Linked DNA regions of Astyanax mexicanus. The protein of the gene in region 1 interacts with the protein of each later gene in a pairwise test. Links are inferred from orthologs where the notes say so. Each region holds a gene or a part of one and is shown on either strand. Other genes may lie near its edges.

Region 1 (7,847 bases):
TAAAGGTGTGGGAGGAGAACGGCAAGTCTGGATGATATTCCAAAAAAAATCACAATACGTGCAGGACACAATAACATAGTATAGATTTTAAAACAAACTAAACATATAGTACATACCTAAAATGTCAACATTTGTGCTACTAAAACAGCACCTTCTGAAGGTTGTACCAAACACAGATACTTTTATGAAAGTTCTTTTACATTGGACTTCTTGTTCCAAACCCCCACAAAAAAAAGTGCTCACAAAGCCAGTTGTCCACGTAACGGAGAAAAAAAAAGGACTCCTCGGACCAGACCACTCTCTTCCATCAATTTGCAGTCAAATTCTGACAATCACATGTCCATTGTAGGTGATGGAGGACAAGGGGTCAGCATGGTCACTCTGATAGGTTGGCAACTATGCAGCTCCATTTACACAACAGGGGGTACTGCACTGAGTGATATTTTCCTCCCGTAACCATCACTAAACAGAAGCACTATTTCCCCTCATCAACATTAATGCTTTCATCTGAGAGGGGGCAGAATCTGATTGTCTTTTCTGGGAAATACTTTGGTTCAGCTTCAGTACTGCATTACTGTAGATCACTCCACTAACTCTGGATATGCAGTGTTTAATTTTGCACCAAAAGATCAAACCAGAAAAGAGCAGAGTCTACCCCACAGTGTGTATTTACGCGGTGTCAATGTGTGACAGGAGCAGAGCAGAGCTCACAGTGCTGGCCTTCACAGTGAATACTGCTTTTTACAGTATAAAAACTACAGCATTATTCTTAGGGAAGTCCAATTATGTTTTACTGCCTTATGTGCCAGTATGACTCTTAACACTGAGCATCATCTAATATCTATTTGATCCCAGTACCCTAATATTTTTAATAAGTTTTATCCAATTTCATCCAATATGAGTATATTAACGCTGAGTAGAGACTAATACCAATTACATCTGTGTACAGTAGTTTTGAGTATTTTGCAATAAAGATCCATCTACCTAAATGCTGAATATCAGACAATATTTGAGTCGTTTACTGCTAAGTATGAATTATTTCCAGTTCTATCCAAGCACCTTATTGCTAAGTATTATCTGACACCAATCTGATTTCAGTATCTTCAGTTGTGTATCAGCTGATACGGTCTTGAGTACCATAAAGCTAATGGCTGATACAAACCCTACCAATTCATACCTCAACGCTGAGTATCAACTGATGTCGGCCAGATTAGGGTACAGTAAAGATGGGCATCAGACAATACCAATCTGATCTGAGTTCCTTAATGCAGAGCATCAGCTTGAATCAGGGAGTACCTTATTGCAAAATATTGGTCAAACCAATCCAATCCAATTAGAGTATCTTAATGCTCCGTGTCAGGTGATACTGAGACAGGCTCCTTACAACAAAACAGAAGACAATACAAATCCGATCTACATAACGATCCTCGTATTGCAATGATGTGTATCGACTAACACTAATCCTAACACCAATCCTTAATGCTGAGTACTGGCTGAATCTGTCATAAGCATGGGTGTTGGCAGATTACCTTAAAGGCGAGTTTCCACTGTTACTAATCGAACACCATATAACTGAGTATAAACTGCTTTGATCTTAGCTATGAATCCTGTACCATTACGCTGAATATCAGCCAATGCCAATTTGATCTCTATAGTAACATCAGCACTTTTAGGCTAAATAACCAATCTGATCTCCCTAACAATCCAAGCACTGCTATGCTGAGTATCAAAGGATAGCAATCTGTTCACCTTAAATGATTTGAGAACCGGCTGATACCAATCCAAGTACCTCAGTGCTGATACTAGTGCTGGGCGGTATGACCAAAAATGTATATCACAGTATTTTTCAAGATAATGACAGTTCCACAGTATATTGTGGCATTTTTATTATTTTATTTATTTATTTTTGCATGACTAGGCTTTGATATAGGTTTGTGATTTATATGGCTGGATATTGTTTTAAAATTTTAGTACCAACAAATAAATTCAGTCACTTCACTTCTTTAGAGTGAACTGGTATACCCCCCAGCACTAGCTGATACTGATCAGATAAGAGTACCGTAAGGCTGAATATCGGGCAATACCGCTCTGTTTCAAGAACATTCATTCATCGCTGATTCTGTTACAGTTACCCATCTCACTATCTTATTGATGAGACACTGATCCGATATGCCGATATAAAGATACCATTATACAAGTACCATAATGTTATGTTTCAGCCAATACTGATACAATTCTCACACCATAATACTGAGTATCGGCTGATTCTGGTCTGAGTACCTCAAAGCGGAGTATCGGCGAATACCGATCAGATCGGTATCAGATCACAGTACTCCGTGTTGAATATCAGCACAGGTATCAGACTGTACCTAAGCTTTCAATATGATAATATATTAAAATACCTTTATTGTGTGACACACTACTACTACGTACTGTGACACAGTAGGTATACATTAAAAATGGACATTTTCAAAGCATTTTAACACTGAACTAGAGACAAGTCTTAAACTGCTCTGTTCACGCGAACTTTCCGTTCCACCTTAAATAAGGCAGCAGTTATAGTCGCCTCATTTAAGGTGGAGCGGATTATTCCGTATTTAGAAATGTAGCGCTGTTTAGGGATTTCCCAAGTATTTTAGCGGCAGTGTGAGTTAATATGGGATTGAACAGTCTAGTAAACGTTTTAAAAACGTTGACAATTCATTTCAAAACGCAGAACAAGTGTTTACTTTCAGCCTAATCACAGTTCTAAACTTCTCAGGCGTATTACCACCACAGTTCTAGCCAATTTTCCAACTCTGAGACACAAACAAGGTTAAAAAGTAGTGATGAAGTTATTAATCAGGATATAAAGATTTAAATATATAGACTTAAAATAGTAAACTAACGCGAACTCACCCGCGGTAGTAGGCCTTCACCCGGACCTGGTGCTGGTTCTCCCCCGGGTGGGTCGCAGTGCTGTCCCGCACCGTCGGCATCGTGAACCGCCAGCCAGCGAAGCCCCGGAGAAAACCGCCTTATCCGGCTCGACTACGGTTTAAGCTAGTGCCGGTCAGCGGAGCCGGTCCTCCTGGGTGTGTCCGCGGAACAGAACGGAGCTGTAAACGGGCTAAAGGCAGGCTGTGAGCGGGTCTGACCGAAACACAACAGCGGCGGCCTGGTCTGGAGAACACAGCCGGAGTCTCGACTCCCCCCACAACAGACTGTGCAGTGGACTCTACTGCGGAACGAACTAACTATGGAATGTGCGGGGAGCGGAGACCAACCTAATACCAATAAACAACGAATTTAACATAAAACGTAATAAATATTACATTTAAAACATTTAAGCCATGTGTGTGAAGGATAAATATTGGGTTACTTTGTGGAATAAACACAAAACTATATTGTTCTAAAGTTTTGTCAACCCTTTTTAAGTACAATGGAAGCGCCCGGAAAGAGTCCGACTATTCCAAAAGAATGGCCGAAGAGGGGTGGACGATTCTTGATTCACAACTCTTCAAGGTAAACCAATCTTATCAGTCGGCGCTCATAATCTCAGTACTCTCTTAACTTGAACTACTGCTAAAGAAAAAAAAAATAGGACAAAAAACAAGCAGAGACTAAAAATTTTACTAAATAAAAACAAAAAAGTCTAAATCAGTTGCTAATTTGGTAAAATATCTGTTTCACTAGTCCTATTTAAAAATAATACCCCTAACAATTCTATGAAAATTGGGTACCCCTCCACCCTAGAACCTCAAAACCTCAGTACCTGATCCTAATGTCATGGTTTCAGCCTGCAGACCACCCCACCTTAAGCACACACGTTCATTTTGATTATGGGTTTCCTTTACTAGTTCAGAACCTCTGTGTCTGATCTTGTTGCTATTATTAAAGCTCCAATACCGCCATCCCCCACTTGAGGTTGGGTTAATTGTGCCCCCCTCTACACACCTGAGGTTCTCATAGATATTTTGGGCCCCAGTGTAATTCCCCTTACCTCCCACACAGCTGGTGGCGCTGCTAATTACCACATTTCTGATGACTGTTTTGTTTTTATTCTCATTTGATAGTCAGACAGCTGCGTTTAATTCACACCCGTATTCTGCCAAGCCACGCCTGCTCCTCTGTGATTAGCTGAGATTGTAGAGCCCCGCCCATTTCCTGTTCATTCTGCTGCACAACACATTACTGCAGTATAGCGTAGTGGCGAAGGAGGGCGCCAGAGAGCCAGTTCAAAATTAACTGAATGAATGGAGTTGACTTATAATTAAGATAATTAATTAGGCAGGTTTAAAATCATCCCTTAAGCAAAGATTTCTTTTCACAAACAGCCTGTCTGGACTAGAGGTCAACAATATCTCTACTTCAGTCTTACAGCTGATGTAAAAATGTTAAAAGTGAAAAATAGGTATTATAGTAGCAAACAAATAATTAATTATTTTAAAAATGATATAATATAATATATTCGTATAATAAAAATATTATAAGAAACATATACAACATTAATTACACACTCTGTAGATTTAATTTAATTTAGAGTTAATAATAACTGTTCTGTAGTAAAGGCAGCTGTAAAAGTATACAGTAAGTAAGTTATACAGCTGATTGGCCGTTCAAACTATAGCAGTTAGCCCCACACATAGACCACTGCAGTCCTGCAGTCATTTTTTGGACATGTTGTTTATGTCCATAATTGTGTTTCCGTGTCGAAGCTGAATTTCTGTATGTCCACAATGAATGAGCTCTGTATGTTCTACTCTGTGTACATTTCCCTCCTGAACATCACTGGATACTCTGAGTTTCGAGATCGTTTAAGAGTCAAAATGCAAATAATGCTAGCTTTTAGCTAATGCTACGGCGCACTGAACTGAAGTCACAGAACAGCGGCAGGGAACGTGAACAAGCTGGCAGAGATATGACACAGACTGTAGAGTGAGGTAAAAACACTTTCAGTCTGTTGATGCTGAGCAGTGTAGCCTGTGTTAGACTTTTAAAAGGCAGATAATAAGACAAAGTGAGCTTTAGGTGCTCAGTGGTTCCCAGTACTCATTCTGGAGCAGCGCTTCCCGGCGGATTTATTATTTAACTACAGTCATTGGTTTGAACTAATTACACACCTGATCCAAATAATCAACTAACTAACTGCCCTGGAAGAGGTGAGCTGAGCTGGGTGTGTTACACCCGCAAAACATTAAAACAAGCAGGACAGTGTTACTCCAGAACCACAGAGCTAAAACACTTAATGTAAAAGTTTAAAACACTTAATGTAAAAAGGCTTAATGTGGGGTTTCTTAAAGGTCTCATTCCATCATTTTTGAATTAATTAAAAATGTCTAGTTTTGGTCTCAGTATAAATGAATGCCATGTGAGCTGTTTTTTGTAAAAAAAAAAAAAAAATGCTCCAGTGAACAGGTGTTTCGCTGCTTTAGTCCCTTAGAGGAGTGGGTGGGGAGAAACGCTAGGATTTTGGCTCTTGCTCATGAATATTCATACATGCAAACATATGGCCTCTGATTGGCAGTATCATATGTTACATTACAACATGTGTAATACCTTGCTAATGCAGTCCAGCCACTTACCTATTCTTACAGTCTCTGTAAAATGCAAAATCTTTACCTTTAGGAAGTGAAAGAATTATTAATTACACCACAACAGCAAATTCGTGTTGTAAGTAAAACTGGAGAAAATAAGTGATGGAACATTGTGTATATAAAATTACATTTAATGATATATTGTATATTTACAATGTTAATAAACAGTTGTACTGATTTTCTTCATTATATCTCTTTTAGTATTAGTCTATGAGGTGTTTAATATAATCTGCGCAGCTGCATGTTTGCGTGAACACTCCCTGAACACTCTTCCCTGATGGCATGGGCATATTCCAAGATGACAATGGCATAATTCACTGAGCTGGATTTGTGAAAGAGTGGTTCAGGGGGCATGAGATCATTATTTTCACAGTTCAGACCTTATTTTTATTTATTTATTTTTTAAATGAATGCAACACAGGATTAAAATAAATCTTGTGACATTGCAGAAGCTTATTGAAACAATGCCACAGTGAATATGTGCTGCAATCAAAGCTAAAGCCGGTCCGGCAATATATTAAAGAATAAATAATAAAGTGTACACTTTTTGGGCGAGACAGTGTTACACAGTGATAATAAACATATGGAATAAGAAAAATAATATACTCAGTTAGTTATAAAATGTCACATTGATTAGATACTTAGAATAAGAGGACAATTTTGTTAAACAACAGTGTTTTAAACACAACACAAAAATATAAAATCCATTTAACTTATATCCACCACCTTTCACAGAAGAGGAACTGTGTTCTTAGTTGACAGGTAAATTTAACACATTCAACCATAAGCCGATACGTCTGCTTTTACCGTATTAAATAGGATAATCCAATACCAGAACATCCTAACCCAGAGAAACAGCTAGGTTCTGAAGCTCCAGTAAAGCGGGTGGTTTGTGAGGTTTACTCGCTACACTCACCCCAATTTGCTCAAATGCTCCATATGAATATTTGAAACTCTGGTATGTATCTATGTATGTATCTAAAGAGCATGAAACACTTTCTAAAGTGGTAATTTTCCTTTCTGAAAGTTCTCTGTAATCATGTAATTAATATGTAAATTTAGGTGTTATTACAAAACATTGGATATTTCTAAACAATACTCAACTATTTTGAGTTAGTTGAACATTTGTGGGCACATATATATTTAAACAGAGATCTTTGAGTTGAACCAATTTATAAGTCTGCTGCCATTGGCAGATTATTTTCCATTGGCTTCTGTCACAATCTATTTGCATACTGGGTGTGTCAAACAGTTTCTGACACTCAACATCAGTGTGTAGTGTTTCCCCCTGGGCTGCCTTAGAAATAAATCAAGTTTCCCTTTTGTTGTTATAACTTAATGTTTTAATTTATGCTAACTCAAGTTTTCTTTCCCCATTACTTAAAAGTTCTTACCAAATTTCCACTTTAGTTGTAATAACTTGATGTTCTAAGTTATGCTAACTTACGTTTTTATTACCCATAACTTAACTTTTTTAAGACAACCGGTTTCTTCAATTTTTTAAAGTAAATCCAACTTGTCCAGGCTTACAGTGCATGCTAACATTTTTGCTGACAAATCTACAATAAAGAAAGCATTAAAGAAGAATGGAGTTCATGGGAGGACACCACAGAGGAAGCCACCGCTGTCCAAAAAAACATTGCTGCACATTTGAAGTTTGCAAAAGAGCACCTGGATGTTCCACAGAAGAACTGGCTAAATATACTGTGGACAGATGAAACCAAAATTTAGTTGTATGGAAGGAACACCAAACACTATGTGTGGGAAAAAAAAACACCACACCATCATCAAAACCTCATCCCAACTGTGAAACATAGTGAAGGCAGCATCATGATTTAGGGCTGCTTTGCTGCATCAGGGCCTGAATGGATTGCTGTCATCAAAGGAAAAGTTAATTCTCAAGTTTACCAAGACAATTTACAGGAAACTTAAGACCATGTGTCCGCCAACTGAAGCTCAACAGAAGATAGATGATGCAACAGAATATAGAAGTAAATCAACAACCAAATGGCTTTAACAGAAAAAAAATATGCCTTCTGGAGAGTCCTGACCTCCTGAACCCAATTGAGATGCTGTGGCTCGACCTCAAGAGAGCGATTCACACCAGATATCCCAAGAGTATTGCTGAACTGAAACAGTTTAGTGAAGAGGAATGATCCAAAAGTCCTCCTGACTGTTGTGCAGGTCTGATCTGCAGCTACAGGAAATGTTTGGTTGAGGTTTTTGCTGCCAAAGGAGGATCAACCAGTTATTAAACACAAAGGTTTAAAT
Region 2 (8,021 bases), on another chromosome or scaffold:
AAATAGCCCTTTATATATATATTAAATAAAAATATTATGATTATTATTTGCTGAGCATGCAGTACGTTTCTTCATTCCCTTGAAAAAAAAAACAGCATGAAGGTTGTGATCTCACTAACATCAAATGTTACTTTCCTAAAGGGCTAATTATCCCAGGATGGACAGAGTGGGCAGGAAAAAAAATTTGGATGTTTAAATAGCTAGATATTTTTGTGAAAATAAAATTCACAATTGAAATGCCTAAATTATAAAAACTAATATATTTATTTTTTTTAAAAAATGTTGCTACTTAACCATTTCTTCTAAATACTGTATTTGTAATATTGTGTTAATTCAGAGTAAACCTTAAAATGCATTGTAACACAGTGTGTAATGTTAACAACTATGCTGAGCACGCAAAAGGAATGTTATATTTATATTGACCAGTTAAAAAAAATAAGTTTTATTTTTCCAAAGAATAAACTGTTCCAAATCAGCTTAGACTTAATATCTTTGGAATACATTAACTTGTGTTAAAAGTTGAGTGTTTTATTTTGTCATGTAAAGTTACCACATTAAAGATATATTTTTTTGGACAATTAAAAACATTATCAAATGCATGAACAAATATTGTGACAATCCCTTCTGTCATGGTCAGACCCTAAACTGGACAGTACTTCAGAGCATTTATTGTGTTTTTTCAGCTCCTATCCTTCAGATGAGCTGCATGAAGAACTATATAACTGTTTTCAGTGGAGTAACACTGACATCTAGTGCTCTTTACAGAAGCTGAGCAAGTAGGGGGCGGGGCTATATGTACAACTACTCATCTGCCACTAGACAGAGAAACAGACAGACAGACAGATTTAATGATCGAAAAGGAGAATTAGGCAGTCAGTTGCAGGTTATAGGGCAGTTACAAGTGTAGTGTAATGCACAGTATACTGTAGTGTATAATATTTAATGTTTTAGTTTACAGTAATAGTTATGTTATTAGTTTGAGTATTGAACTTGCTGTATGCTGTTATAGAGTCAGTAACAGGTTAACTAACAAGGCAACAAGTTACATGCATAACATGTGATGCACTACATTATTTTATATCTCATTAAACATAGTTAATTGATGCAGTAATGCTTTAATTCATTACTAGACCATTAGGTAGCTCACCTGGTAGTCAACACCTACTTGATTAATTTTAAGAAATAAACATAATGACAGATACTAGATATTTTCTTTAGTTGCACTTAGTATCGTCCTTTAAGGAAACAACCGCAAACAAAATTGCTAAACAATAGTTCAATTTTTTTAAATAAGCTTGTCAATTTTGTAGAGTCTATATGTAAAATAATTGTAAAAAATAGCTGCAAGAGAGTTTCATTTAAAATACCACTAATTGTCAAGTACACTCTAAGACTGAAAAAAAAAAAATAATTTAGAAATTTCATATTTAAAAAAAAAAGATAATTTGTTGAAAACTTGAGTTAATTAGACTTAAAATGTTTAGGTACTATCCCTAAATTGTAAGTTTTTGTTAAAGCAATTGCTTTGTACAATAATCCTACTTTAAATGTTATTGTCAGGTAGTAAAACAGAACTTTCCATATCTAATGTTTGGAAATATAATTATATGTAAAAATAGAACATATTTATTTGAGTTCAGACTGTTTTTTGGTTTATAGTTTATTGCATTTTTCTCTATATAATTACTTAATTGGTTAATTCATGACACTCCTTTTTTTCTGTCGTCTTCATTTATAGCTTTCCCGTCCACTGTCCTTGTCCATCTTCCAGCAGCGTGACAATTGTCTTGTATAGTTAAATTGGCCCACATTTTTTGTACTTTCACTGCACAGTTTTTTTCTTACATATTCACATAATCACTGTGTTTGATATATTGTGCAATTGTGCATAAAAGTGCATAAACATATCACTCCAGTAAATATCCTCTTTTAAGACCTCCACTTGAGTAAAAGTACAAAGACTAGATTTGCCTTCAAATGTATTTAAATATAAGTAAACATAGTCTCTGTCTTATTTCACAAATCTTTTAATAGAATGTCATCAATTATCATATATTTTTTGGTCTATAAGGCTGACTGAAATTATTCCAAAAGAGCATGGACAACTCATCCAGGAGGTCACAAAAAAAACAGAACTGCGGGTCTCACTTGCCTCAGTTAAGGTCAGTGTTAATGATTCAATAATAAGAAAGAGACTGGTCGAAAATAGTATCCATGGGAGAGATCCAAGGCAAAAAAAAAAAAAAAAAAAAAAAACAACAGTCCATTTCAAATTTGTAAAAAATCTTGATAATCCCCAGGAATTTGGGGAATTTTGCTGTTTTACCAGACAATCCTAAACACACTGCACTGACACTTTACAAGAACAAATACTGTTTACAAACACTGTCACTTTAAACCGCACTGAGACACTTTGTCCTGTACTGCTCTAATTCCATTATCATGCTGCTATAGCAAAACTTGCACTCTGGACTTCATGTTGCTGCTACCTGTCTACTCTGCCTATATTTTATTTTTTTGTGTATTTATATTTATCTATTATGTTCTATTCTATTTTTATTGTATTCTTTTATTTTGTTATCTTATTTTATCTATATATCTATTTTAACAACAGCTCTTGGTTGTAAACTTGAGATCACAATTTCGTTACACCTCATGTACCACATGTGATGCGAATGACAATAAAATCTCTTTGAATTTTTTAATCCTTAAAGGAGAATGTCCTGCCATCTGTTCATGATCTCAAGCTTAGGCGTACTTGGCTTCTGCAGCAGGACAATGACCCAAAGCACACAAACAAGTCCACCTCTGAATGGCTTTAAAAAAAAAAATGAAGGTTTTCGAGTGGCCTAGTCAAATTCTGTGGAATGATCTTAAACAGGTGGTTCATGCTGGAAAACCATCCAATGTGTCTGAATTAAAACAATTCTGTAAAGAAGAGTAGGCCACTATTCCTCCACAGAGATGTGAAAGACTCATTGTCAGTTACGGGCTAAGCTTGATTGCAGTTGTTGCCACCAAAGATGATTTGGATATTTTTTTTCCTTTAATCTTTCTCTAATATTAACGTTTGTTTGATAATCTAAAAAAATATCAGGATGACAAAAAAGCAAAAACAAAAAAAGTCTGCAGGGGGCAAATAATTTTTAACGTCACTGTATATATATACATATATATGTATATATATACAAAACTTCCTTAATAGGAAAAAATGTGATGAAAACATCCATTATATTTGTTTGTTGACTTATTTACACTTACTGTTATATTAAATACGTTTATTTCTATTGAAAATAGAAGGTCGGTAACAGTAAAATCTGGAGAAATATTAGCCCCCTCTAGGGGACAGAAGAGCATTGCATGCTATTCACACCACCACTGTGATTTATTTCCTAATGAGCTTAGTTTGGCAAGTTTATTCAAACTTTTGCTTCTTATTTAAGCAGGAACATTAGTGTACTAAATTTCTAGCAATTAATTCAGATTAAAAGTATCTTAAACTAACGCATAAAACGTCGGCTGTTAGAACTTTGCTCTATTCTGATGCTGGTGATTTTCCGTGGTTTAACCGGTAGAACAGTTGGAGGCGCTGAGAGGACGGTGTTAGGGAGGTTAAGCTGGCGCCTTCTGGCCGCACCAACACAGTAAAATCCAACAGCTGATGTGTAAACATCACAGCACACTGGGTGGTGGGTGGTTTCACTCAGACCAATGGGATCATGCTCAGCAGTGTCTGGTAGTGTCTGGTTTGAGCCCAAAGGTAGGAAAGAGGAGCCTTAAATCAGAGCCAAGAAAATGTAAAATCATGACTCAACTAGAAAAAGAGAAATATATAATAAAAGAGCTTGAAAACAGTTAAAAAACAAACAAACAAATACTTAATTTCCAGTGAACACTCAATATCAATATTTAAAAACTAAATTATTATAATTCGAAATTAACCTACTAATAAAAGTATTTAACAGCTTTTAATCCACAAAAATCCTTTACTTCAATAAAAATAAATACTTTCTCACATTTGCAGTAGTTTATTGTTAAACGCAAAAATAGCACAAATTTTGTACAAATGTGTCTAAGAAAAAGTAACGCCGTATATTCCAGTTTGGCAGTTATGAACTTTAAAATAAACTTGTATTCTTTTTTTTAAAGAACCGAATTTTTTAATTACCGTCAGCAGGTGGCGCTACTGTTGGTATGTGCGGCTGCGATTGAACGTTTTTGTTTTTTTAACCACCCGTTTTTCGGACACACCACGCCCCCCGTGCTCTCATTGGCTACTTGGTTCAAACTCAATCCGCCCGACCAATGGGAGAGGCGAGCAAACAATAATAAATAAATAATATATTCCGAAAACAAAATAAGTTTCAAAAAGCGTAGCTTTTATATTAGTCTCACTTTAGTCATTAACAATTACATTTAATATATTTTTTTTGTATTATTGCTCAAATTTGCAGTACAACTTTACTAACTTTATATCAAGTTTCTTCTTGTTTTTTTGTTTTTATTTTATTTTATTTTTTTTTCATTGCTTCTTAATTTTGGATACCTATTTATTTGTTGTCATAATAAATTATTTATAATTCATACGAGATCACATTTATATTTATATACCATTTATATATAGATAACTGTATGCATAATGTTACTGCAAAAAAATGCATAAATAAAACAAACTTAGCTAAAATACTAAAGCGGCGTCAATGGATAGACAAAACCCCGCCTCCATCGAACCAAAGGACCAATCACAATGCCGAAGGCGGGATATTTCCACGAAAATAGCCAATCACGTTAAAGGGAGCGTTTTCTGAGTACGGGTACGGAGTACGGGTGTGAAGCCAGTTGGAGGAGCTGTGGCTGAGTTCATGGAGAGACACGGTGGTGATGTCATTCAGTAAAGTTAAAGTGAGTGTCCCTGACTGAGACGCTGCTTTTGGGCTCTGTAACGCTTTTATTTTTCTGTGAAAGTTTGCGAGCTGCGGTGTAGCGGACTCCCCGAGGACTTCATGCTCCTGCACACCGAGAACTAGTGGGAGTTTGTGGGATATAGGCGCTCGTCTTCTCTCCCTCGAGCCCCCGAGCCGAGGGTCGGGCTCAGTCTGGGAACTTTGGAGCTTCAGATCAAAATGAACCGCAGCTTTAATAAATCGCAGCCTTTACGGCCGCTGGAGCTGGACGCGGTGGAGGTGAAGAGTAAGGTAGGTCTGGAGGGCTTTGGGTTTAAAAGTACTGTGTTTACTCTTCTTAAAACACTGGTGAAATAGTGTTTTTTTAAGTAGGTAAAGGTGGGCTAATGTAGCTAGCCCCCATGTCAACTCACTAACCTAACTAATATTAGCTCTCTGCTCTGAGCTGTCCTCCACTGTGTGTCTTCTGACACTCAGTATTAGTGATAACTACTTTTCATCACATACCTGCTGTTTCTGAGTTAATATTTGGGGTGTTTGAGTTGTTTATGCTGCATCTACAAGCAGCCAGACTGCTAGCAGAGTAGCAACTAGTGCATCTAAATAAATAAAGTAAATTGATTATCATTAAAAAGTTACTTTATTTCACTAATTCAGTTAAAAATATGAAACGCATATGCTATATAGATGTATTGAACACAAAGTGACCTATTTTAAGAGTTTTTTTTTATTGTTGATAATTATGGCTTACAGCCAATGAAAACCCAAAAATCATTTTCTCAGGAAATTAGAATATTATATAAGACCTATTGGTACTTTTGGCAGTGTGGGCAGTGTGTCAAGTCCTGCTGGAAAATGAAATCAGCAATCTCCATAAAAGTTGACACCAGAGAGAAGCATGAAGTGCTGTAAGATTTATCTGGAAAACAAAACTGCACTGACTTCTGACTTTATATAACACAGTGGATCAACACCAGCAGATGACATGTCTCTCCAAACCATCACTAATCATCAGTAAATTTTGCATTTCGTTTGGAAATCAAGGGACCAGAATAGAGTGGAGAAACACAGTTCAAGCTGCTTGAGGTCTAGTGTGAAGTCTCTACAATCAGTGATGGAGAGCCATGTCATCTGGCAATCTACTACTGAAAATCTAAGCTTACTGTAAGTAAATGAAAGCGCTTTACTTACACAAATTAACAGTTTTCAGGAGAGAAATCTGTGTAGTTTAACACCCATTGCTCATTTTACTTTAAAAGTAAATGTTTTGCTTATATGGCAACACCCTTGTTCCTTACTATTGTCACCTAAAATGTGCCTTATGTATGGAAAGAGACCAGAAAATAGACTTTCATTGATGGTGTGCCTTATTATAGTCAGTATAATACAGTAGTCTAAAACAGCTCTTCTGACAACATCTCTCTCTTTAACTGTAAACTTGCTTTAACTGTGCAGTTTGGGGATTTCCTAGACTAGGAACACACACACTTATTGAACGGTTGATTTGAATCAGGTGCATGAGCAGGAATATCTCCAAAATGGACTTGAGCCTGTCCAAGAATCCCCTGGAGTAAAGGGCCCACTGTCCAGATGTCATGTAGATTTCTTCTATATTTTGCTTGCAGTGTGTATCTTTTAAACTCATCTGATTGTTTACTGAACCCTTTTCAAGGGCAGGTTTACAATCACTGGTCATCCTTTAGTGTTTGTCTATCTAGTTCAGGAGTGGCAAGGTCTTTTGAGATATTGGGCCACATCCAAATCTTTCCATTTTTTAAAAATAAAAAAAAGCATAACATCTAGAGATGCATGATGATATCAGAATTATATCACTATCTGTCGATAATTGCTTTTTTAAAACCGATACTTTCTCTCTACATTGACTGCACTACTACCATTGATTTTAAGCTCATTTTTATTTATTTTTATTAGCTTTAAAGTTATACCAGGGTGTCCATTCTCTCTGTAAGTTATAAGTATATATATCGGAATTGGCAGATAAATACATGTGTAATATTGAAAATCGGCATTGACATTGGTGCATCTCTAATATCATTCTTACACTATATACACAGCAGACAAATGAAAAAAAAAAGAACATAACTGTATCACTGACTGACTAACTACAATAATTACAGCCTCTGTCAAAGCTATAATACACTACATCCTATATCCAAATGTTTGTGAACACCCCTTCTATGCACTCAGCTACTTTAAATTACTCTCATTGCCGATAAAAATGTGCAAATGCACACGCTGCTTGTCTAGTCCCTGTAGAAAAGAATTGGCAGTAGAGTCAGACACTCTGGAGCAGATAAAAATGAACCTTTTGACACTGTGCCTAATACTAGACATGGACTAGAGGAGTTTAAATCCTCTCAGCATTTAGTTATGGTGCAGTGGGGTTGTATTCCCTGGGAAGCAGATACAGTTTCTCTTCCCCAAAAAAGCAGGATTTTTAATTTTTAATTAAATAATAATTTTTAATACCCTTGATTTCAGAAATAACAGTAAATGAGCAAGTGTTGTAATACTGTTGTCCATATAGTGTAAAACAATGCAAATTAACTTTATCTAGACCAGTTTCAGAGTTTGTTTTGACTCTGCAGGTGTGCATTGTGCTAGATATCATTTCTGTAGATCATTAAGCCCTACGTTAGTGAGGCAACAGTCAGAAATACTGTAATTAGTATTTTTTAAATGAATTCCCACATGGTGTGACACACCAAATGTGTAAAAATTATGTTGTGCATTAAAACACAGTGAAAGCTTTTAAACGTTAAGTGGACTGAGGCAGTGTTCTTACTAATTCAGAAGTCTCGCAGGTTTTAAATTGGTTCTGCTGTTAGGTTTGACTGTGTTTTCCCACATCTAGCTAAATGGCTGTCTGTGTGTTCATGCAGATTAGAACCTTGATCGGACCAGATCCAGCCCACTGTCTGTATGTTGACCTGCGTGATCTGATCTCTGTCTGTCTGCTGCATCTGTAGCGTATAGTTGATTGTCACGCACTCAATGTTTGGCCATTGGTTTTTATTTTAAATGTGTGTATTATTGCAGTGGAGTTTCTCTTCTTTTTTTTAAAGATTGTCTGTGGTAACTGTCACTGATTGTATG

The links.
Region 2: the proteins of prkci (region 1) and pard6gb interact in binary tests that used the Homo sapiens proteins (3 or more experiments, as listed by UniProt). The link is inferred for Astyanax mexicanus from reciprocal best matches to the Homo sapiens genes PRKCI and PARD6G.

What each region holds. Positions count from the first base shown.
Region 1 is NC_064415.1:44,605,767-44,613,613, forward strand, and holds the start of prkci (protein kinase C iota type), read right to left. Parts: upstream 3,207-7,847; 5' UTR 2,979-3,206; coding exon 2,899-2,978; intron 1-2,898.
Region 2 is NC_064410.1:36,208,287-36,216,307, reverse strand, and holds the start of pard6gb (par-6 family cell polarity regulator gamma b), read left to right. Parts: upstream 1-4,840; 5' UTR 4,841-5,123; coding exon 5,124-5,195; intron 5,196-8,021. UniProt on the Homo sapiens protein: Adapter protein involved in asymmetrical cell division and cell polarization processes. May play a role in the formation of epithelial tight junctions. The PARD6-PARD3 complex links GTP-bound Rho small GTPases to atypical protein kinase C proteins.